Xenopus tropicalis: one gene and its partners. The protein of the gene in region 1 purifies or fractionates together with the protein of each later gene. This does not show direct contact. Links are inferred from orthologs where the notes say so. Each region holds a gene or a part of one and is shown in the gene's direction. Other genes may lie near its edges.

The links.
Region 2: the proteins of asf1a (region 1) and hat1 purify together in Homo sapiens (affinity purification with mass spectrometry; 4 studies listed by BioGRID and IntAct, counting the BioPlex papers as one, with this or other methods). This does not show direct contact. The link is inferred for Xenopus tropicalis from reciprocal best matches to the Homo sapiens genes ASF1A and HAT1.
Region 3: the proteins of asf1a (region 1) and ubn1 purify together in Homo sapiens (affinity purification with mass spectrometry; 6 studies listed by BioGRID and IntAct, counting the BioPlex papers as one, with this or other methods). This does not show direct contact. The link is inferred for Xenopus tropicalis from reciprocal best matches to the Homo sapiens genes ASF1A and UBN1.
Region 4: the proteins of asf1a (region 1) and ubn2 purify together in Homo sapiens (affinity purification with mass spectrometry; 3 studies listed by BioGRID and IntAct, counting the BioPlex papers as one, with this or other methods). This does not show direct contact. The link is inferred for Xenopus tropicalis from reciprocal best matches to the Homo sapiens genes ASF1A and UBN2.
Region 5: the proteins of asf1a (region 1) and tonsl purify together in Homo sapiens (affinity purification with mass spectrometry; 4 studies listed by BioGRID and IntAct, counting the BioPlex papers as one, with this or other methods). This does not show direct contact. The link is inferred for Xenopus tropicalis from reciprocal best matches to the Homo sapiens genes ASF1A and TONSL.
Region 6: the proteins of asf1a (region 1) and chaf1a purify together in Homo sapiens (affinity purification with western blotting; 3 studies listed by BioGRID and IntAct, with this or other methods). This does not show direct contact. The link is inferred for Xenopus tropicalis from reciprocal best matches to the Homo sapiens genes ASF1A and CHAF1A.

What each region holds. Positions count from the first base shown.
Region 1 is NC_030681.2:73,630,910-73,633,848, forward strand, and holds the end of asf1a (histone chaperone ASF1A), read left to right. Parts: intron 1-1,101; coding exon 1,102-1,278; intron 1,279-1,803; coding exon 1,804-2,016; 3' UTR 2,017-2,439; downstream 2,440-2,939. UniProt on the Homo sapiens protein: Histone chaperone that facilitates histone deposition and histone exchange and removal during nucleosome assembly and disassembly.
Region 2 is NC_030685.2:67,566,726-67,570,246, reverse strand, and holds the end of hat1 (histone acetyltransferase type B catalytic subunit), read left to right. Parts: intron 1-2,334; coding exon 2,335-2,502; 3' UTR 2,503-3,021; downstream 3,022-3,521. UniProt on the Homo sapiens protein: Histone acetyltransferase that plays a role in different biological processes including cell cycle progression, glucose metabolism, histone production or DNA damage repair. Coordinates histone production and acetylation via H4 promoter binding.
Region 3 is NC_030685.2:14,418,055-14,421,554, forward strand, and holds part of ubn1 (ubinuclein-1), read left to right. Parts: intron 1-114; coding exon 115-210; intron 211-986; coding exon 987-1,285; intron 1,286-1,765; coding exon 1,766-2,186; intron 2,187-2,337; coding exon 2,338-2,408; intron 2,409-2,842; coding exon 2,843-2,972; intron 2,973-3,500. UniProt on the Homo sapiens protein: Acts as a novel regulator of senescence. Involved in the formation of senescence-associated heterochromatin foci (SAHF), which represses expression of proliferation-promoting genes. Binds to proliferation-promoting genes.
Region 4 is NC_030680.2:114,756,116-114,760,045, forward strand, and holds the start of ubn2 (ubinuclein-2), read left to right. Parts: upstream 1-1,130; 5' UTR 1,131-1,431; coding exon 1,432-1,857; intron 1,858-3,930.
Region 5 is NC_030682.2:152,183,646-152,187,675, reverse strand, and holds the start of tonsl (tonsoku-like protein), read left to right. Parts: upstream 1-1,230; 5' UTR 1,231-1,552; coding exon 1,553-1,574; intron 1,575-4,030. UniProt on the Homo sapiens protein: Component of the MMS22L-TONSL complex, a complex that promotes homologous recombination-mediated repair of double-strand breaks (DSBs) at stalled or collapsed replication forks.
Region 6 is NC_030677.2:93,808,671-93,812,170, reverse strand, and holds part of chaf1a (chromatin assembly factor 1 subunit A), read left to right. Parts: intron 1-2,662; coding exon 2,663-2,877; intron 2,878-3,500. UniProt on the Homo sapiens protein: Acts as a component of the histone chaperone complex chromatin assembly factor 1 (CAF-1), which assembles histone octamers onto DNA during replication and repair.

The sequences.
Region 1 (2,939 bases):
TGTCAATATATAACATGTCAAGGACTGCTCCCCACTGAAGTTTGACAGCCACATAGCTAGTACACTTTAAGGGCTTTGGCACACAGGGAGATTAGTCGCCCGCGACAAGGGAGATTTGTTGCGGGCGACTAATCTCCCGATGTACCAAAGCCCTTAAAAGTGTACTTGCTATGTGGCTGTCAAACTTCAAACTTTTTCCTGTCAAATCTCCAGGAAATGCCATCCCACCGGTGAGAATGTAAATTGCCGGTGGGATGGCATATGCAGTGCTGCGATTTCCATTCTCGCCGGTGGGATGGCATTTCGGGGAGATTTGTCGTGGGCGACTAATCTCCCCATGTGCCACAGCCCTTAGTCCCAAGTGTCTAGAAAGAAATGGCATCTTGCAGATTAGTAATGGATAGATATGCACTCTGTAATAAAATTGCAGTGAAATATCTGCTACTTGTGGTACAGGAATTAGTCTGCACAGTGGATGTACTATGTAGTGGCAGCTGTACTACACATTCTGACCAACTAGGCAGAGATGTACAGATTCTTCAGTAACTGGGAAAAAACTAAATATCAAGCCCCACTAATTAATCATATCTGCTTCCTAGAGAATCAATTTTTCTGAAGCTTAAAGGAGAAGGAAAGGCTAAGTCACTTGGGGGATGCCAAAATGTTAGGCACCCCCAAGTGACTTTAATCGCTTACCTTGTACCCCGGGGCTGGTGCCCCTGTTAGAAGAAAACCGCACCAGCCCTGGGTAGCTGTAGCGGAGCGCTTCCTTCTTCCGTGTTTGCTCTGCCGGCAAAATACCTGAGTGAAAAGGTGACTTCTTGTTAAAGTTCAGCTTTTCACCCTACTGCGCATGCACGAGCGCGAACAAGGAAGAGGAAGCGCTTGCTGCAGGCACCCGGGTTGGTGCTGTTCTCTCCAAACAGGGGCACCAGCTCGGGGTACAAGGTAAGCGATTAAAGTCACTTGGGGGTGCCTAACATTTTGGCACCCTCAAGTGACTTTGCCTTTCCTTCTCCTTTAAGGAAGAATCAGTGTGGAGCCGAACAGTAGATTCTGACAGAGAACATTTGTAACTGCTTTGTCTCCATCTTTGTTTAGGCTGATGCCCCCAACTCAGGCCTTATACCAGACGCAGATGCCATTGGTGTAACAGTGGTGCTTATCACATGCACATACAGAGATCAAGAGTTTATCAGAGTGGGCTATTATGTTAATAATGAATATACAGAAACAGAACTGCGTGAAAACCCTCCTGTGAAACCAGACTTTTCCAAGGTAAAGAATTTACAAACTCTGCAATAAATAGTTTGAAAAACAACTGCCAGGTGATGTAATGTTTATTTTGCATTGTTGGGACTTCACATTGCGGATCATGATCAAATGGCACAGATGCAGAAGTGTCACCTAACTGCAGTAATATGGTGCACAACACAAACCCACTACAGTGGCTTCTAATGCCTTCCCATCAGAAATAAAGTGAATCACCGGTGGAAAGGCTTCCGCACCTCTAACATTTCCAAAGTCGCATGTTGTTTCCTACTGCAAACAGAGTCGAGGTCGGCCTGAAAAAGCAAAAGCAGGCATCTTCAAGCCAACCTCTACTGCGTGTGCCTGCATGGTACATACAATTTTACTTTTATGTCCAGGTCAATGGAGCTGGTTAAGGGAGCCGTTCCGCTTCTCTCAGCCTGAAAAAAAAAAAATGCAGGCTGAGGGCAGTGGAACCAACAGTCCATGTACCCTCAACCTAAAAGGCTTTCAATTATCATTTAAATCATTTACATTTTCTCTCTGCTGCAGCTTCAGAGGAACATCTTGGCATCAAATCCTAGAGTAACCAGGTTCCACATAAACTGGGAAGAAAATACAGAGAAGCTTGATGAACTTGAAGATAGTAATCCTCATCTGCATCCAATACTGTCAATAGAAGCCAGACCTTCAGCTTCAAAAGGATGGCCTATGTCAGAGAACTCTTTAAATGTCATGCTAGAATCGCACATGGACTGCATGTGACTTTACTTTTACATCTTTCTACTTTCAAGCCAATGGGAAAATTGCACTTTGCAACACTATTTTCCAATAAATAGGACACCAGGAAACATGTCCTTGGCAGAAACCTTTATCAAAGGGTGGAAACAAAATGTGAACTAGGGGGAAAAGTTTTTAAAAAATCTATTTTTAATTATTTTTGTTTCTGCTTAAGGCAGGTATCTATCAGCTATTTTCCAAACTAGTTAGAACATGCAACTGCAGCACATTTTGCTATTTATTTGGAGATGTATTGTTTTCTGATATTTTGCTGAAATAAATCTATGCTTGATACCACAGACCTGACATATGCACACTGTGGGCCATCCACAGTACATCCTATTTGATTACATAAAATCTATTTCAGATGGATTCTATTCTTACAACAAATAATGCCTTTATAGTTTACTTTCTTGTTAAAAGGTAATTATTTACCAGTTTTGGTTTTATAAACAATACATGTTTTGCATGGTTTTTCTTTTCAAGCGAAAACCAGAGGGTGTTATATCTTTAAAATTTTACAATTGCTAATGCCAAGCAAGCAGTTGGCTATTTAGCCATTCGATATAAAATAGTTTCTTCTACAGTCGGGAAAAAAATATGCAGTCCCTTTGTAAACAACTCTAATCCAGTATTAAAGGACAATGAAAGGTTAATATAAATTAAAAGTAAATCTAAACGCATTCTTTTTAAGTACTTACTGCATATCTAAATTCCCAGATCCCTGCTTGCCTCTCTGAGATATGGTGCTGGCAGCCTACAGCAGTTAGAAGACTACAGTGACATCACTGAAATCTCTTTCCCCTTCCTGTAGGTGCCAGCGGCAGCCTTCCTATTCTCTGAGCATGTGTGTAACTTGATCCTGTCTCCTGGTCTGAGATACACATGCCCACCAGCCAATCAGAAGC
Region 2 (3,521 bases), on another chromosome or scaffold:
TCTCATCATCAAACAAAATGATCTCTTGCTAGTTGATAAAAATACTGACATGGTATAAAAGATATATTATGCTTTGTTGTTTGTTTGGTACATTACAAAAAGTAATCCTCTTACCTGATCTTTTTCCCTAATATGTATTCTCCAGGAAGTAGTGGGTTGAAATAAAAGTCCTTTATTATTTTCCTTTATAAAAACATAGGGATCAAACAGAATAAATACTTTAGATTTAGTAACCTAAGGTGAGATCACACACAGACCATTCCCTTTATAAGGCACAATTCCCCATATGTAATAAAAGGCACTAAGTTTGTAACCCATAGCTACCAATAAGATTTTTGCTTTGAAACAGGTGACCAGTAAATGCTACCTGTTGATTGGTTGGTATAGGTTACTGCACCCAGGGAAACTTAGTGCTTTTTATTACATAACCCCCAATATGTGCATGTGATTAAACTCAACATTACATATAGCAGTACTGCACATCTAGGGCACTTCTTATATGTATTGCACAAATAGTATCCTATTAACACTGAACTGGAGGCAATACCCAGTTACAAACTGCCTTCATTTAGCTAAAAACAACAGCTAATTGGCCTTTGAACTGCTTGTTTTTGGCATAGTTGTCTTGTAGACATGAAAATGTAACAGTCACACTTATTTTTATTTTTCACTCATTTAGAAAAGTGTTATTTTTAACTATCCCACAACAAGTAAATAGTTTCCAGAGATGTTTTCCCTGCCTGCGCAATCAGGAACCCATAGAAAAACAGTCCTGTTCTCCCATACTGTCGTCTGACAAGTGATTAAGTGATGTAATTTTAAGAGGAAACAGCCCCATTTCCTGTCACATCTGTACCGAGTGTATGTATTTAGGGAATGTGTTCTTGGCATTCTTATATTTTACTCAGCATAAGTTTGTGTCTGTGTACTAATGAATATCAGCAGAGGATCTGGGGGGGTAATGGGGTAAATCTTGGTGATATAAGGCACCTTTTGCAAAACAAAGATTTATTTTTTGTAGATTATTGTTGAATAGAACAAAATGTATAACGTTAACTTTTAGTATGTTATAGAGTTGCCAATTCTTAGTAATGTTTCAGTTGGTCTTCATTTTTTATTTAGCATAGTTTTTAAATTATTTGCAACTGCCTTCTGACTCTTCTCAGCTGTCAAATGGTGTCACTGACCCACATCAGCCAAAAACTATTGTTATTGTGACTTTTTATTACTCATTATTCTATTTAGTCCCTCTCCTATTCATATTCCAGTCTCTCATTCAAACCAATGTCTGGTTGCTAGGGTAATTTAGACAAATAGGTGCGGAAATTCCAGACTGGAGAGTTGAACAAGAAGCAAAATAATTTAAAAAACACAAATAATATAAATGAAGACCAATTGCAAATTGTGTTAGAATAGCACTCTCTACAGTATATTAAAAGTTATTTTAAGGGGAAAAACCCCTTTAGGGGGTCATACAGGGGAGTGTTTCTGGGAGAACCACACCCCATTCATTTTTATGGGGTTGTACTGACACAGGCGCATGTAAGAGCCGAACACAGGAGAATGCAACCCCTGTTCCCCTGCTGATCTGGCTGACTACTTTAAGACTCAAATAAAATGTAACAGTAGTCGACTGTCCTCAGCCTGCCTTCAGCCTGCATCCTCCTAATCCCACAATTCCCTGCACACGTGATGTTAATAAGGAAAGGAACATCACAGTGCAATGCATTGTGGGTTATGTAGTTCCTGTATGCTGTGTGTAAGCTGTGTAGAAGTTTTTAAAATTTGTATCATTAATGTTTTAGTCCCTCCTGCCAGGATTTAAAATGATGCAGAAAGATAACAGTTTTGCAGATGGATTTCAGTTTTTTGGGGAGTCACCTTGATTTAAACGCCGCTCACTTGATCGCCCACAGGAAGAGTTCAGTCACCTGCTAGAGATAATACACACCCAAAACCTAACTTGCACTTTTCATAGAATATTCAGACAAAGTCCTCCATAATCCATCTGAAGCAATGAAAAAGGGAGCACAGTAGTAGGCAGGGCTGGGGCAGAACAGGGGTGGCCCTTCAGATCCAGGTTGACATCCCTGTTGCTGATAATCGGATCGAATCATGTTATAATTGGCAAAGGGGTTTTATTTGCGTGCCCACTAGATCCGGTCCTGTATTGGTCCACTATGTTTGCAGCTATCAGACTAAGCAGGCCGATCCCTATTCAGATTTAGGAGGACAGATTAAAAAGTTGACCTCTTTCAAAGAACTGGGGATTTATTTGTGGCTTTGTGTATATTGGTAAATAATTATTTGTACTGTTTAACTTTGTTTACACAGAAAAATCAGAGAGAGATGGCTAAGATGAAACAGTGCCTCCGGCCAGAAGAGCTGACCAACCAGATGAACCAGATCGATCTAAACACGCAGCATGAGCAGTTAGAGGAGAGCTATCAGCAGCTGGTGGAGGAATACAGGCGGATAGTGGAGCGGCTTGCTCAGGCGTAGAGATCACAAGCATGGCCGCTGATCTTTCACACTATAGCCTTCAGCTTTTCTCTGATATTGCCAACAGACTGCAATCTTAGTACAGTTCTCAGTGTACTGTTACAGTCATGGTTCTCTTGGACTCTTTGAACTTCCACCGGGCTGGAATCTTCAGCTGCCTTTTGTTAATGATAGACCTGTTTGCGTTTAGAGCCGACGTGCAGTAAATATTGGAATTGCCCGGCTCTCTCAGCACTTAGTTAACTTTCCAGGGCCATGCAAATGTTACCCAGGGCATGAAAATCTAAGAATCCAAGGCTTAGGAATCAGGGAAATTGATCATTAAAGCCCACCATCACTTTTAACAATTCCTAGCACTGGATTTGCCATCTACAACAGAGGAGGGAAATATTTCAGTATTATGCAGTGCAGGGTACACTGTTGCCAAAGTCCATGTAGCTTGTATCAGCAAAAATATGTACTTATAGTGACACCAAAATATTAAAGCCATCATTAAAATAATGGTTTTTGCATTCAAAACATCTGGAGTGCCGCAGCCTTTATTCTTTCACAAAGCCATGCTGTTTGTTTTCTTTCTGTAATATAGAATTATTGCCTTACCTTGTTGACACATATCTTCAGTTACCAATTCTACTTTTCCTTTAAGTACAACCAAGTGGCCACTAAGTTAATCTCTCAGATACAAACTCCCTTCCAGTTATATTGATTTGCTGTATGCCATTAATGGGCTGGCTCTATGGGCATTTTTACTGGTCCAGATACTTGCCCATGTCATGTGATTTCAGAGGCATACATGATCCCTGCTAAACATAGGGGATTCTTATAATATTTGGAAGGGTGGCAGCAGAATATCGAAGACACATCACTAATATCATGCTGTGCCAAGTTCCTAGTAAAAAGATACCCCATACGGGCGACCCATTAGGAACTGAAACCAGCACTGTGGGTTGTTCGTACAGATTAGAATAAATTTATCAAACTCTTTAAGAGAGTACATACTCTTCTGTACTGAGACATGG
Region 3 (3,500 bases), on another chromosome or scaffold:
TGGGTCATTGGCACCAAGGTCAGAGGAGGAGGGGTTCAAGGTTAGATGGCAAATGCAAGCAAATCAATAGGCTGTGCATCGGTTAGTTACCAAGCCATATTTCCATGTTCCCAGGGAAACAAGAAGAGGCGCAGGGATCGTATGCAGGACCTTATTGACATGGGGTATGGGTACGACGAGTCGGACTCTTTTATAGACAACTCTGAGGCGGTGAGTTACAAATTTATAAAGGAGCAAGTTATTATGCCCAGGTTTTCATGGGATTAAATTTGCAGTTTTTCATTTTTAATTTTTTGCAGTTTTTGAAGTATTTTTGCTTTTTGTTCCGCCACTCGCCAAGTTGTAATTTCAGCTGCTATCTGGTTGCTAGGGCACAATTTAACATAGCAGCCAGGCAGTGGTTTGAAACTGAGACATGAATATGCATAGAGTGGGGCCTAAATAGAAAGATAAGTAATAAAAAGTAACAATAAAAGTGTAGCCTCACAGAGCAATGAGTTTTTAGCTACTGGGGTCAGTAATCCCCATTTAAAAGTTAGAAGAGGAAGGCAAATCACTTGTGGAAGCAGCCATATGTAATAAACATCTATATTATACATGCACAATGAATAAATACTTACATAGGTGTTGCGTGTTAATGTGTAAGTGCTTGGATGAACAGTTTAGCCTGTAAGTGCCCCTAGTCTGTTGGGGGAAAGGGGGCTTCTATTGAATTTACTCTGCTATAAGCCAGAGCTGGCTCATTTGACCATGCGTAAGAAACATGTAATAAAGAGAAAATATAAATACCCCCTGACTCTATAATAGGAATTCATTTTTATTAAAACACATTTGGTTAAGTATAAACAAGTAAAACTCTTACAGTCAACACATGACAGCTCAGACTGATTTACCCAAAACTTGTAAAGTTAGATGTTCTGAATCCAATCCGTAAGTAAAGTGAAAACCTGCCAGAGGTAAACATGTATATTATTGTATCCTTTTAGTATGATGAGCTAGTACCTGCTTCGCTGTCAACCAAGTACGGGGGCTTTTACATCAACTCAGGAACGCTGCAGTTCAGGCAGGCATCTGAGTCAGAAGATGAAGCCTCCAAGGAAAAGAAGAAGAAATCACCCAAGGTAAAGCTCACGTTACAGGCATTCTTCCCAGTTGCATCAATCAATGACCTGTTTTTTGTTTTGCTTCTGCCTCCACAGAAAATTAAGGACAGGGGTGAAAAAGTGAAGAAGAAGAAAAGAGCAGAGGATAAGAAATCCAAAAAAAACAAACATCCAAAGCCAGGGTACAAACACATCCCTCTTCTGCTTGTCTGTGTAGTCAGTGGGGTTTCTGATCTACGAGCAGATCACCTGCTTCCAGCCATAGAAACATATCATGGCTAGTTTTTGGTTAAGACTGCCACAGCACGTTTTAAAAATGCAAAGAAACTGTATCATTAAAGGTCAAATATACAGTATATACAATTTCCTGAAAAGTTGTGCTTAATATAAAGGGATAAAATAAGAATGCTGGGATAGTTTAATATATATATGCAATATAAGCAAACTTAAAAGGGGCTCTTCCTAAGGCTATGCCTTATAGATTTTATCGTTGGCTACTTTTGATGGGCCACATCCCACCATGCTTTTTTGCAACTAGGCAACACCACTGTATTTAAGGGATTGTCCAATAGGATTGAAGGGGACCTGCTCATATTTCTGCATGGTTGATTCAGTGAGTGGTCATGAAGAGATGAAGGTTAATTGGACATTTTTATGTTTAGATTCACAGCCTTAAATGGTACAAAAGATAAGAAGAAAAAGAAGCACTCTATCTTTAAGATGTTGGCGAGATTTGAGCAAGAGAAAAATGCTCAAAAAACCATTATCACACCACCAACCCCTACTCCCACCGTCAAGCCCTCCGGCATTAGCCAGCAGCCTACTCTTCCAAAGCCAACTCCACGCGAGGCTGAGCTGACCCCTGATCCCACCATGTCGTCTCATGTGTCTGAGCTGCTCAAAGCTGTCAGTGCCATAGACTCCATAAGCGAGAAGCCGATAGAGAATGTACCCAACACCCTGCCCGAGAAAAAGCATGGAGTCCAAGGTGGGACAGCATCAGAGCAGGCCACTAAAGCACCTGCATCTCTCCCAGAAGGCTTACCTTTCGCCCTAGAGAAAAGGATCAAGGAGCTGACAAAGGTCAGTAAAATTATCTATTTTAGTTTTGGTAAAAATGCATTCAGGCCAATTGTTGGCTGATGAAAAATATTCCATCCGCCTTTAGCCGTGCCGTCACCATCATGGTTTTTAGCAGTAATGCAACCCACAGATTTTTTTTTTTTAATTTTAGGCTGTAAGAGCATCAGAGGGTGAAAAGAAAGGTTTGTTATTCTCCCAGGAGATGAACAGCGCTCTGCTTGAGTAAGTATCACTTTCCACAAACACAGCACATTACTTACCCAAGATCCTCCCCTGAGCACTCAACCCTGAGTAGTCCCGTAATGATAGATGGGGGGGGGGGGGGTCTTTATTCTGCATTGTGATACTTTTTTAATAATGTCTACTGTACTGCATAACTGTACTCTTTAGTAACCCTTCCTCCTTCTACAATCGTTTGATGCTCACTCCTACTCCTACACATTTTTCTTTACCAACCCCCACTCATCTTTCCCTTAACTGATCGCTACTCCCATCTTCATATTAACCTTTACTGACATCTACTCCTCCTCTGCACACAGTGCGGTAAATTCTGCAAACAGTTTACATGTGTTAAATTATGGTTTGCTCATAAAAAAACTCTAAACTATAAGCCAAGTGCTTCTACAACAACTAACCAGAATTTTCTGTTCCCACAGCATATATCTATTATCCCGGGAACTGAGCTCCTCTCTCCGTTTGGCAGTCTTCTCACATCTGGCATCAGTCTTACCCTGTGGCAAAGACACTCTGGTAAAATGGGCCACGCGCTTGTACTTGCATAAGCAGGTCAGAGATGGGCCATTGGTGCCATTCTGTGAGCAAATGTGTGTTTGTATGTGGTTGTGAGCTTTTGTCTGTCTGTGTGTGTACATGGTTGAAAGTTCATGTCCCCAGGTTTAAGCATGCATAGCACAGCACTTGTTTCTCTCTTGTCAAATATATTACCTGTTGCTACTCATTGGATATAACTCTGCCTTCCTCCTTACAAGCCCCTGTCAGTGTGCATTTATTTTTAAGTGTTCATGGAGTAACACAGAGAGAATGTTTGCTTTGGTTCACTAACCACAGAAGCCAGTGACCAGTTAGATTTTACCAGTCTAGTCCACACAGAATTATGAAAGTAAAGAATCTGATCTGATTGGTTGATATGTCTGGGACAAATTTTAAGGCTGTTTACTTGATTAATTACATGGTGAGGCTGGGATCGAGGTGTCAGATTGGACTACTAACTTTTTAAAGAAAAGGCCTTTTAAATGATAAAATGTTGACATTTATGTGTTCAGCTTGAGGTCATACAATTCTTGGAATCTGTCT
Region 4 (3,930 bases), on another chromosome or scaffold:
GATCCAAGCACATCCAGGGAAGTGTCTGTTGTAGCCAGGCTCTAATGGAGTATATGATGCCAGGAATAAGAACCAAATAAATAGATGGGTTGAGTGTATGCATGTTTACCCTTCTAATGGGTTTGCAGCCTGGAGCCTATTCCCTGATTTTTTTCAATATATAACCAAAGTGTTATTTCCACAAACTAATTTACAACTATAGAGTATATAAGTCATTATAACACAAAGGGGCCATGAATATCCTGTAGATTATGGTGCATAGTAATATCATCAGTTAGGTTATGGAACTCCCCAGTGACTAACAGTATCCTTACATTATACAACAGGAGGTACATTATTCACAATATATTTTAGAAGAGCTGTGAATATGAGGTTGCCACCTCTGCTGGCTCTGTTACCCAGGCAGGGGGCGGGGAAGAGGTGGGGCTATGACTTGTCGATAGGTGATTGTTGTCGTCAGTTACTGAATCCTGACGGTTTTCCTTATTTGGGAAACCAGGCAGGAGGTTTTGAACCGGGCAACCCTTCTGAAAACTGGGCTTTCCAGGTCAAAACCAGACAGGTGACAGCCCTATGTGAATATTGTGTAAATCATATCCTTATAAATGGTGCATAATGATGTCATCAATTATAATTGGTGCTTAGTAATGTCATTTCTGTCATATGACTCCCTGAAACATGTGTATTATTATAAGTGCCCCCTGCTGTAAAATAGCCACAATATTAGAAGCTCTTTTGAGCAGGGGCCTGCTTACCTAATGTATTGGTTATTGATTGTATTGTATGTTCTCCTGTATGTTTAATGAATACACCAATTTATTGTTTAATAATAACACTAATAAAGTTACTTCAGAGTTCCATGACAGGTATAAAGCACCCTGCCTTCAGCCCCCCTGCCTTTATACCGTCTTCCTGGTGACCTATATAATCTTTTATAATAAGGGGGTACATTTTTCACTACATAACCACAAGCAAAGCCTTTACAGTTTGATGGCAGTATACCTTTAAATCACTAGCCCATCAGAGCTCCGCGTCCTTGCTACCATGACAACCGTAATAAACGTAAAATGCGTAGATTTCGTACAATGTAAAACAAACGCGAAGAAGGCAGCACGTGTAGCGTAATGACGTAGAGGTACCCGCCCACATCCCAGCTCCCAGGCGCGCATGCGCCATAGTAAGTGGACCTGTTATTATTTATGTGGGGTCCAAGATGGCAGCGGCACATAGAGAGGCCAAAGCGGTGGGGCAGGAGGTGGCGGCGGTAGCAGCAGCAGCTAGGAAACAATAATAAGGGAGCCGTCACCAGCGGAAGGCAAGTTTGCACCTGGTACGGGGACTGTGAATAAACCGGAGGAACTCGCAGGACGCGCGAAAGAAATTGTTCTCGGCAGCTGTGAGAGACTGTGTGTGTGAGTGAGAGAGGAAGGAATGGCGGAGCCGCGTAGGGTTCCGTTTGTAAGTCTGTCACCCATGAAACCACGCGAGACCGGCCCAGTCCTGACTGTGGAACAGCAGCACCAGCGAACCCCACCTCCCCTGCAGCCGCCGGCACAAAGGCCACCGCAGCCCCGGGCCGCACAGCAAGCCATGCTACAGCACAGGCCTTCCCAGCAAGCGCTGGCTCACCGGCTGCAACGGGAACCCACGGCTCCTGCCATAGAGACTGGCATCTGTCATGTACTGGCCAAACCCGAGGGGGCTGACCGGCCCCGAGTGCCAGGGACTGTGAGGCTGGAGTTGGCACTAACTGATCCCACAGAGGAGGGCTGTGCGGAATTTAGTTACCCTGAGCTGCTGCAGAAAGAGCAGAGGGCAGGACGGATCCCGGTTGCGGCCAAGGAAGTCGCTGGACAGGTGAGACGTGCGGGATCCTAGGCCTTCCTGTTTGGCACTGACAGCCTCTAATCTGCAGTCGTACATGTAATACCAGTGCATAAACTGCAGTTGTACATGTAATACCAGTGCATAAGCTGCAGAAAGGGAGCTCTCAATTATCAGCAGGCAGCTTGTACCCACATCTTACACTACATTTGTTAGCTCCAAGCATGGCATTATACTGAAAATCAAATCATGAAGAGAAATTATTTACTAACAATAATGTCTATTTGCCTTTTCATTAAAATAGGAGAGTGACTTTGCCTTGTTTCTTTCATCAAAAATTGTTCCCTTAATCTGTATTCTTCAGTGATTCTGATGAAAGTACTATGAAAACTGGTAATAAGTGCCAGGTGTATTATATGTTTTAGGTATTGTTCATTTGCTTTGAAAAATGGGCATATAGTCTGTTAAAGAACAGATTTTTTGGTGGAATCATCCCTTTGTATAGCAAATCAGCCTAGCCTTTCCCTAAGCTCATCATATTTACATGATTACAACTAACAAGGCTAATGCCGCACGGGGATGTAAGTCGTCTGCAATTGCAATAAATCTCTGCTACCTTTTCTGGCCAATTTGCTTGAGCCTCAAGACCTATCACACAAGACCCAAAGAACAATTTATAACCCCCTGCATTTAAAGGAACAATAATACCAAAAAATGAAAGTGTATCAAAGTAATTATTATTTTATGTACTATTACCCTGAACTGGTAAAAGTTGTGTGTTTGTTTCGGGAACCGTGCTATAGTTTATATAAACAAAGCTGCTGTGTAGCCATGGGGGCAGCCATTCAAATTGAAAAAAGGAGAAAAGCACAGGTTACGTAGCAGACAACACATAGGACAGAATTACATTATTACATTAACATTTATTTATAAAGCGCCAACATATTCCGCAGCGCTGTACAATATGTGGGTTACATACATTGGACATACAGAGTAACATATAAAGCAATCAGTAACCGATACAAGAGGTGAAGAGGGGCCTGCCCAAAAGAGCTTACAATCTACAAGATTTGATCTGTTATCTATGTAACCAGTGCACTTTCTCCTTTTTTCCAGATTGAATGACTGCCCATGTGGCTACATATCAGCTTTGTTTATATAAACTCTAGTTGGGTTTCTGAATCAAACACACAACTTCTACCAGTGCAAGAATATAGTACATAATATTTTAATTACTTTAAAATAGAGCTGGGCGGTATGACCAAAAATTTATATCACGGTATTTTTCAAAATTATATCGGTTTCACGGTATTTGACGGTATTTTTTTTTTTTTCCATGCATGATTAGGTGTTAACCCCATTTCCTAATAAATTAGAGAATAATTACTGCAGTATTGAAAATCAGAGTCAGGCAAGCGAAGGATCAGCAACAAGAAAGTCGTAAGGTAAATCAGGCAGGCTTAGTTTCCCAGGCAAGGCCGCAGACAACATAGCACAGGAGGAGGCGTTTGATAGCTTTAAATACCCCCCACGCATGCGCAGAACCGGCGCCGTCAGCGCGTCGCGGACGTGCACGCTTTGACATGTACGTGTGCTTTGACGCACGCGCACCTGGCCGCGCGTGCGCAACGTCCCGCGGACAACGGGACGCGCGCGAGACCGGCCCGCACGGGTGAGTACCCTGACACCCCGGTATTGCGGTATCTGAAAAATGAATATAGTTTTAAAAAAAAAAAAAACACCGGTATTCGGTATTAAACGGTATATCGCCCAGCCCGACTTTAAAACACTCATTTTTTGATGTTACTGTTCCTTTAGTATGATAACTTTTGACTGAAAAGACATGTGACAGAACTACATTAGAACACTGGGGTGATAAAGGTTAGGTGATACAGCAGAAAGGAAAAAAATGGACATTGAAATAATATTAATAATACCGGGAATTTTGACAATGTAGCACTTTACTGCTTATATACAATTTGTAGTACAAGCAAAATAAGGTTGATTTTTGTGATGATAGTATCCATTTAAAACCTATAGGCCATGTCAGATGGTCTTTTCTTGGTAAAGGTAGAAGTTTGAAGTGCTGTATTTCTGGTACTGATC
Region 5 (4,030 bases), on another chromosome or scaffold:
CGGGGTGCCAGAACACACTCTCGCCCCCCCCCCCCCGGTGCCAAGACACACTCTCCCCCCCCCCCGCGGATGCCAGACACACTCCCCGCCCCCCCCCCGGTGCCAGACACACTGCATGCACCCCCCCCTCCTCCCGGTGCCAGACACACTCTCCCCCCCCCCCCCCCCGGTGCCAGACACACTCTCCCCCCCCCCCCCCCCGGTGCCAGACACACTCTCCCCCCCCGGGTGCCAGACACACGTCTCCCCCCCCCGGGGTGCCAGAACACACTCTCCCTCCCGCGCCGGTGCCAGACACACTCTCCCCCCTCCTCCCCCCGGGGTGGCCAGACACACTCTCCCCACCCCCCCCCCCCCGGTGCCAGACACACTCTCCCCCCCCCGCCCGGTGCCAACACACTCTCCCCCCCCCCCCCCCCAGGTGCCAGACACACTCTCGCCCCCCCCCCCGGTGCCAGAACACTCCCCCCCCCCCGCCTCGCGCGGTTGCCAGAACACACTCTCCCCCCCGTCCCCCCCGGTGCCAGACACACCTTCCCCCCCCGGTGCCAGAGCACCACTCTCGGGCCCGACCCGGGGTGCGCAGACACACCTCGCCGCCCGCCCGGTGCCCGCCAGACACACTCCTCCCACCCCCCCCGCCCGCGGGGTGCCAGACACACTCTCCCCCCCCCCCCCCCCCCCCCCCGGTGCCAGACACACTCTCCCCCCCCCCCCCCGGTGCCAGACACACTCTCCCCCCGCGGGTGCCAGACACACTCTCCCTCCCCCCGGTGCCAGACACACTCTCCCCCCCCCCCCCCCGGGGTGCCAGACACACTCTCCCCCTGCCCCCTCCCCCGGTGCCAGACACACTCTCCCCCCCCCCCCCCCCCCCCCCCCCCCCGGTGCCAGACACACTCTCCCCCCCCCGGGGTGCCAGACACACTCTCCCCCCCCCGGGGTGCCAGACACACTCTCCCCCCCCCCGGGGTGCCAGACACACTCTCCCCCCCCCCCGGGGTGCCAGACACACTCTCCCCCCCCGGGGTGCCAGACACACTCTCCCCCCCCCGGGGGTGCCAGACACACTCTCCCCCTGCCCCAAACGTATCACCTCCCGGCAGAATCCCGGGAATGTACAAGCCCCTGCGCTCCTCACAGGAACCCTAAGGAACTACAAATCCCGACATGCCTTGCGCGATATCGCTATGTTAACGAAGCTAATTTCCCATCATGCCCCGGCACAAGTACAGCGCTTGTATAACCCCGCCCATCTCTGCCAGAGACCCGGGATATTGTGTGGAGCCAAATCTCCCATTTCCCTGCCAGTAGCAATGTTGTACCGATTCCCTCAGGAGTCCGTGTGTAGCTGAACGAACCCTCTCAGCAGCCCCGGGGCAGTGCCGCTCCCGTTATAAATAGTTTCACGGGGCGGGAAAAACTCCTCATTTGAATAAAGCGCCGAAAGTCACGTGATTGAGACGCTCTGACGTCACCTGCGGTCCGATTAGTAACTGGGAACTGTGTGACCGGCACCGGCACCGGCACCGGCACCGGCACCGGGCTGAGAATGAGTGAGCGGGAAATCCGGCGTGAGTACCGCCCCCCCCCCATATACCGACTGATCAGCCCCCCATATACCGACTGATCAGCCCCCCATATACCGACTGATCAGCCCCCCATATACCGACTGATCAGCCCCCCATATACCGACTGATCAGCCCCCCATATACCGACTGATCAGCCCCCCATATACCGACTGATCAGCCCCCCATATACCGACTGATCAGCCCCCCATATACCGACGATCAGCCCCATATACCGACTGATCAGCCCCCCATATACCGACTGATCAGCCCCCCATATACCGACTGATCAGCCCCCCATATACCGACTGATCAGCCCCCCATATACCGACTGATCAGCCCCCCATATACCGACTGATCAGCCCCCCATATACCGACTGATCAGCCCCCCATATACCGACTGATCAGCCCCCCATATACCGACTGATCAGCCCCCCATATACCGACTGATCAGCCCCCCCATATACCGACTGCGACTGATCAGCCCCCCATATACCGACTGATCAGCCCCCACTGATCAGCCCCCATATACCGACTGATCAGCCCCCCATATACCGACTGATCAGCCCCCCATATACCGACTGATCAGCCCCCCCATATACCGACTGATCAGCCCCCCATATACCGACTGATCAGCCCCCCATATACCGACTGATCAGCCCCCATATACCGACTGATCAGCCCCCCATATACCGACTGATCACCCCCATATACCGACTGATCAGCCCCCCATATACCGACTGATCAGCCCCCAAATACCGACTGATCAGCCCCCCATATACCGACTGATCAGCCCCCCATATACCGACTGATCAGCCCCCCATATACCGACTGATCAGCCCCCAATATACCGACTGATCACCCCCATATACCGACTGATCAGCCCCCATATACCGACTGATCAGCCCCCCATATACCGACTGATCAGCCCCCCATATACCGACTGATCAGCCCCCCATATACCGACTGATCAGCCCCCCATATACCGACTGATCAGCCCCCCATATACCGACTGATCAGCCCCCCCATATACCGACTGATCAGCCCCCCATATACCGACTGATCAGCCCACATATACCGACTGATCAGCCCCCCATATACCGACTGATCAGCCCCCCATATACCGACTGATCAGCCCCCCATATACCGACTGATCAGCCCCCCATATACCGACTGATCAGCCCCCCATATACCGACTGATCAGCCCCCCATATACCGACTGATCAGCCCCCATATACCGACTGATCAGCCCCCCATATACCGACTGATCAGCCCCCCATATACCGACTGATCAGCCCCCCATATACCGACTGATCAGCCCCCATATACCGACTGATCACCCCCCATATACCGACTGATCAGCCCCATATACCGACTGATCAGCCCCCATATACCGACTGATCAGCCCCCCATATACCGACTGATCAGCCCCATATACCGACTGATCAGCCCCCCATATACCGACTGATCAGCCCCCCATATACCGACTGATCAGCCCCCCATATACCGACTGATCAGCCCCCCATATACCGACTGATCAGCCCCCCATATACCGACTGATCAGCCCCCCATATACCGGACTGATCAGCCCCCAATATACCGACTGATCAGCCCCCCATATACCGACTGATCAGCCCCCCATATACCGACTGATCAGCCCCCCATATACCGACTGATCAGCCCCCATATACCGACTGATCAGCCCCCCATATACCGACTGATCAGCCCCCCATATACCGACTGATCAGCCCCCCATATACCGACTGATCAGCCCCCATATACCGACTGATCAGCCCCCATATACCGACTGATCAGCCCCCATATACCGACTGATCAGCCCCCAATACCGACTGATCAGCCCCCATTACCGACTGATCAGCCCCCCATATACCGACTGATCAGCCCCCATATACCGACTGATCAGCCCCCCATATACCGACTGATCAGCCCCCCATATACCGACTGATCAGCCCCCATATACCGACTGATCAGCCCCCCATATACGACTGATCAGCCCCATATACCGACTGATCAGCCCCCCATATACGAACTGATCAGCCCCCCATATACCGACTGATCAAGCCCCCCATATACCGACTGAATCAGCCCCCATATACCGACTTGATCAGCCCCCCATATACCGACTGATCAGCCCCCCATATACCGACTGATCAGCCCCCCATATACCGACTGATCAGCCCCCATATACCGACTGATCAGCCCCATATACCGACTGATCAAGCCCCCCATATACCGACTGATCAGCCCCCATATACCGACTGATCAGCCCCCCATATACCGACTGATCAGCCCCCATATACCGACTGATCAGCCCCCCATATACGCGACTGATCAGCCCCCCATATACCGACTGATCAGCCCCCCATAATACCGACTGATCAGCCCCCATATACCGACTGATCAGCCCCCCAATTACCGACTGATCAGCCCCCCATATACCG
Region 6 (3,500 bases), on another chromosome or scaffold:
GTAATAATATATTATGTACTAATACACCCTGCCCTGGTAACAGTTGTGTGTTTGCATGGGTAAGTTGCTGAGTTGAACTTTTTAACACTGTAAATTTACATTTTTGTAGTTAGAAAAATATTTTCATTTGTCTGAATTTATACTTCAGGTATACAGGTAAGCATGCTGCAGTAACTGGCAATGGGTATCAGGCTAAGGGGATATTTTATTTTATACAATGCAGAAATCTCCGTAAAATAGTTTTTATATTTTTGTCTATATCCTATTTTTTCTCTTATGAAAAATATTAAAACATTTTTTATTCCTGTTGGTATTTAGAGCTCTATATCGTGTTGAAGTGGAATTACAAGGAAAAGTGGACTGCTATATAAAGTTAAAGTTAGCTTGATCACTTCTATGTAAACTAAAGAGATACCGCAAAAAGGTTGCTAAAATGCAAAGCTCAGTTTCAGTTCGCCTTGAGAAAGCAGCATATGCGAAACGCGTGTCGGCGTCCTAAGCCCTTTGTTTGTTGATCTTTGTACTGATGTTAAATTAATGGCAATGACAGGCACTGAAGAGAATAGGGACAGTTAATGTTGACGGCACCAGTTTATGGCTGCCAAGGGATACAAATAGCCGCTTTTTAGAGCTTAAGCTTTGACAGGTTTAATGATACCCCCAAGTAATTATGCCTGAATAAGGTGACCGCACCGAGACATTTAGGTGTATGAGCGGGGGTCATATCGTCATTGTTGCACGATCGGAGAGTTTAAGAGTTGTACCTCTGACTAGCATACAAGCACAGTAGCAGTTGCGGATAATGCCTGATATAGGCGGCCTGCCGGACGGGACTAGCGGTATATTGTAATTGTAAGTAGTCCCCGGGCTGGCTGTGGAGTATCGGCAGTGAAAAAATCTGTTACTTCCGGGTTTGTCGATGCATGAGCAGCATAAATAGCACTGAACAAACTAAAAAAGGATGCACTTGCCAGCTTGAAGCATCGATAATTAGCCCGCTAGGATAAGTGGCCCCGCACGATGTATATTAAGACTGCACATACGATACTGACTCTTTTGCTAAGTTAATAGCTGAACTGATAGGTTGAACCCTGTTCAGCTTACGTAGCATACTTTCCGGGCACTACAGAGAGCTACCCTGTCTAATTGGGAATAAAGATGGTGTGTACCGTTTAGCCTAAAAAAAGTGTATCCGGTAGCCCAAAGTACTGATAACTAGCTCTCTGTGATAAACGGATCAGTGCGTAGTATATCAAGCCTCTGCACATGATACTTACCGTCCGTTTAAGATAATAGCCGATCCACTAGCCTGACCCCCGCCTTGCTTTTTTGGTATAATTCCCGACCAATATAGTGAGCCATCTCGTTCAATTGAGAATAAAGGGTAATTTTGTCCCAGTGTATCAATCCAAAGTACTTGATTAGAACACTGAAACAAGGGCTAACCTCTGATCGAGCTCTGCATATAGTGCATTAATAAATTAGATTTATCTGTAATCGGCAATTCAATCCCTCCTAGTGCTGTGGTGAAATTAAGACCTAACTGGTGGATACGTATTAAAAACATTTACCTTTCTCCAATATTGCAGCGAGAGAGCTAATTACTGGAGTATGGTAGAATAATGTGAACTTTAACTCCCATACATCTATATTTAGAAAGTATTTGTGTAAATGATGGAAAGCGGATAAATGATCCCTGAGGCATTATTGTGAGGAATCTTTTACGCACCGTAGGAAATCTGCACCAACATATGTAAACTTCCAACAATTGATACGGTGTGACCTATTCATTTCAGGCTTGTAGAATCTTTATAAAGGTTTTCTTAGTAGCAACTATAGTAATCTAATTTCCACTTGCAACAATGTTATAATGTTGCAATAGTGAAAGCGAAACCTTCTCTATTCTAACAAACATAGGGCTTTACCTCTTTTAACCTTTCCTGTTCCCCTTTCAGTTTATTTTAACCAATTTTAGAAATAATCAAAATAAAAACCTATTTTAACTTTCTATCTGGTGTGCCTTGATCAAGTGTGTGCCTTCCTGCTTACCTAAACTATTTACTACTACATTCAAGTGCACCCAACATGTAAGCTATAGTGCGAGGTGTAGCTCCAACTTCTGGAAGTATTCCTGATCTACACCCCACCGCCCAACCTATAATTTACAGAATGAGCAGCTAATTTCATATCTGCTGTATTGTACATACCCAAAAATATAGAACTGCAAACTTTTATTGCATTACAAAATAGCTGTAAAAAGCTGCCAACTGCATATTTATGGGGTCTTCATCAGGGGGAAAATGAGTAAAAACGAGGCAGATTATAGATACACACAGAATTTATATCCCTTGAGAGCACTGGATGCCCTTAACGTCCTGCTTCCTGTTTATGCAGCAGCACATGAACACAAGTGTACAGCGTGTAAGTTTAGCCCAGCAGTGTGTGTGCAGGCTTTAGTATAACACCTACCAATACAACAACCTAGATGTAGTAGTCCGATGAAGTCAGTGTTCTGCCTCTACCTCTATGGTGTGGACGTAATCCTAAAATTCTGAGAACTACCTATCCATTTTTATAGTATGCTGTAATATAATTCATGCACAACCAGAAATTTGCGAGCAAAACAGCTGTCTTATTTTGTCATTCCGTTCGTTATCCTTAGGGTAAGGAAGAAAAGGGGCAAGCTGAAAAGGAGGAGCGAAAGCGTGCTAGAGAAGATGCAAGGGCTGCAAAAGAACTTGCAAAGAAGAAGAGGGACGATGAGAGAGAGCAGCGGGAAAGGGACAAGAAGGAAAAAAAGGAGAGAGAAGACCGAGAAAAGGCAGAAAAGTTGCGACTAAAGGAGGAGAAAAAAAAGGAGAAGCTTGAAGCCCTGGAGTGAGTATTATAGCAAAGGGTCGTCTTGCACTGGGTGGAATTTAATAGATCTAAAAACAAATTTGAGGTGAAGAACAGTATTATAGTCTGCACTCTCCTATGTTTCGGGTGCCCCGGCGAAACACCCCCCCCCTCGCAAGCTTGCTGGTGTGGGCATTTAAACTCCCATACAGAACAGTGGGGTGACGTCCCTGCTCCGTACAGGAGAAAATTTCGTTGTGGGGCGGCATTCCGCCCCTAAATTTGTGCCACCCGGGCCTTTGTGGCCTCACCACAAATCAAGGCCTGGGGACAGTCAAGTGGTAAGGTAAGAATTCTTCAAATTGTAGGTTGTTTACCTTATACAGCAGGGAAGATAAGTATTGAACATGTGAACAATTTTCTTAGTAAATGTGACAAATTAGAAAATTGGTAATGACAGCTTCAAGGTGCCTCATGTGCCACATGCATTACTCAGGTGTGATATTTGCTCTTTCTTCCACACAAACTGTCTTTAAATCTTGACTGTTCCGGGGACCTCTTCTATGAACTCTGGTCTTCAGTTCTTTCCATAGATTTTCAATTGGGTTCAAGTTGGGTGATTGACTGACTGGGCCATTCTAGCAGCTTTATGTTGTTTCTCT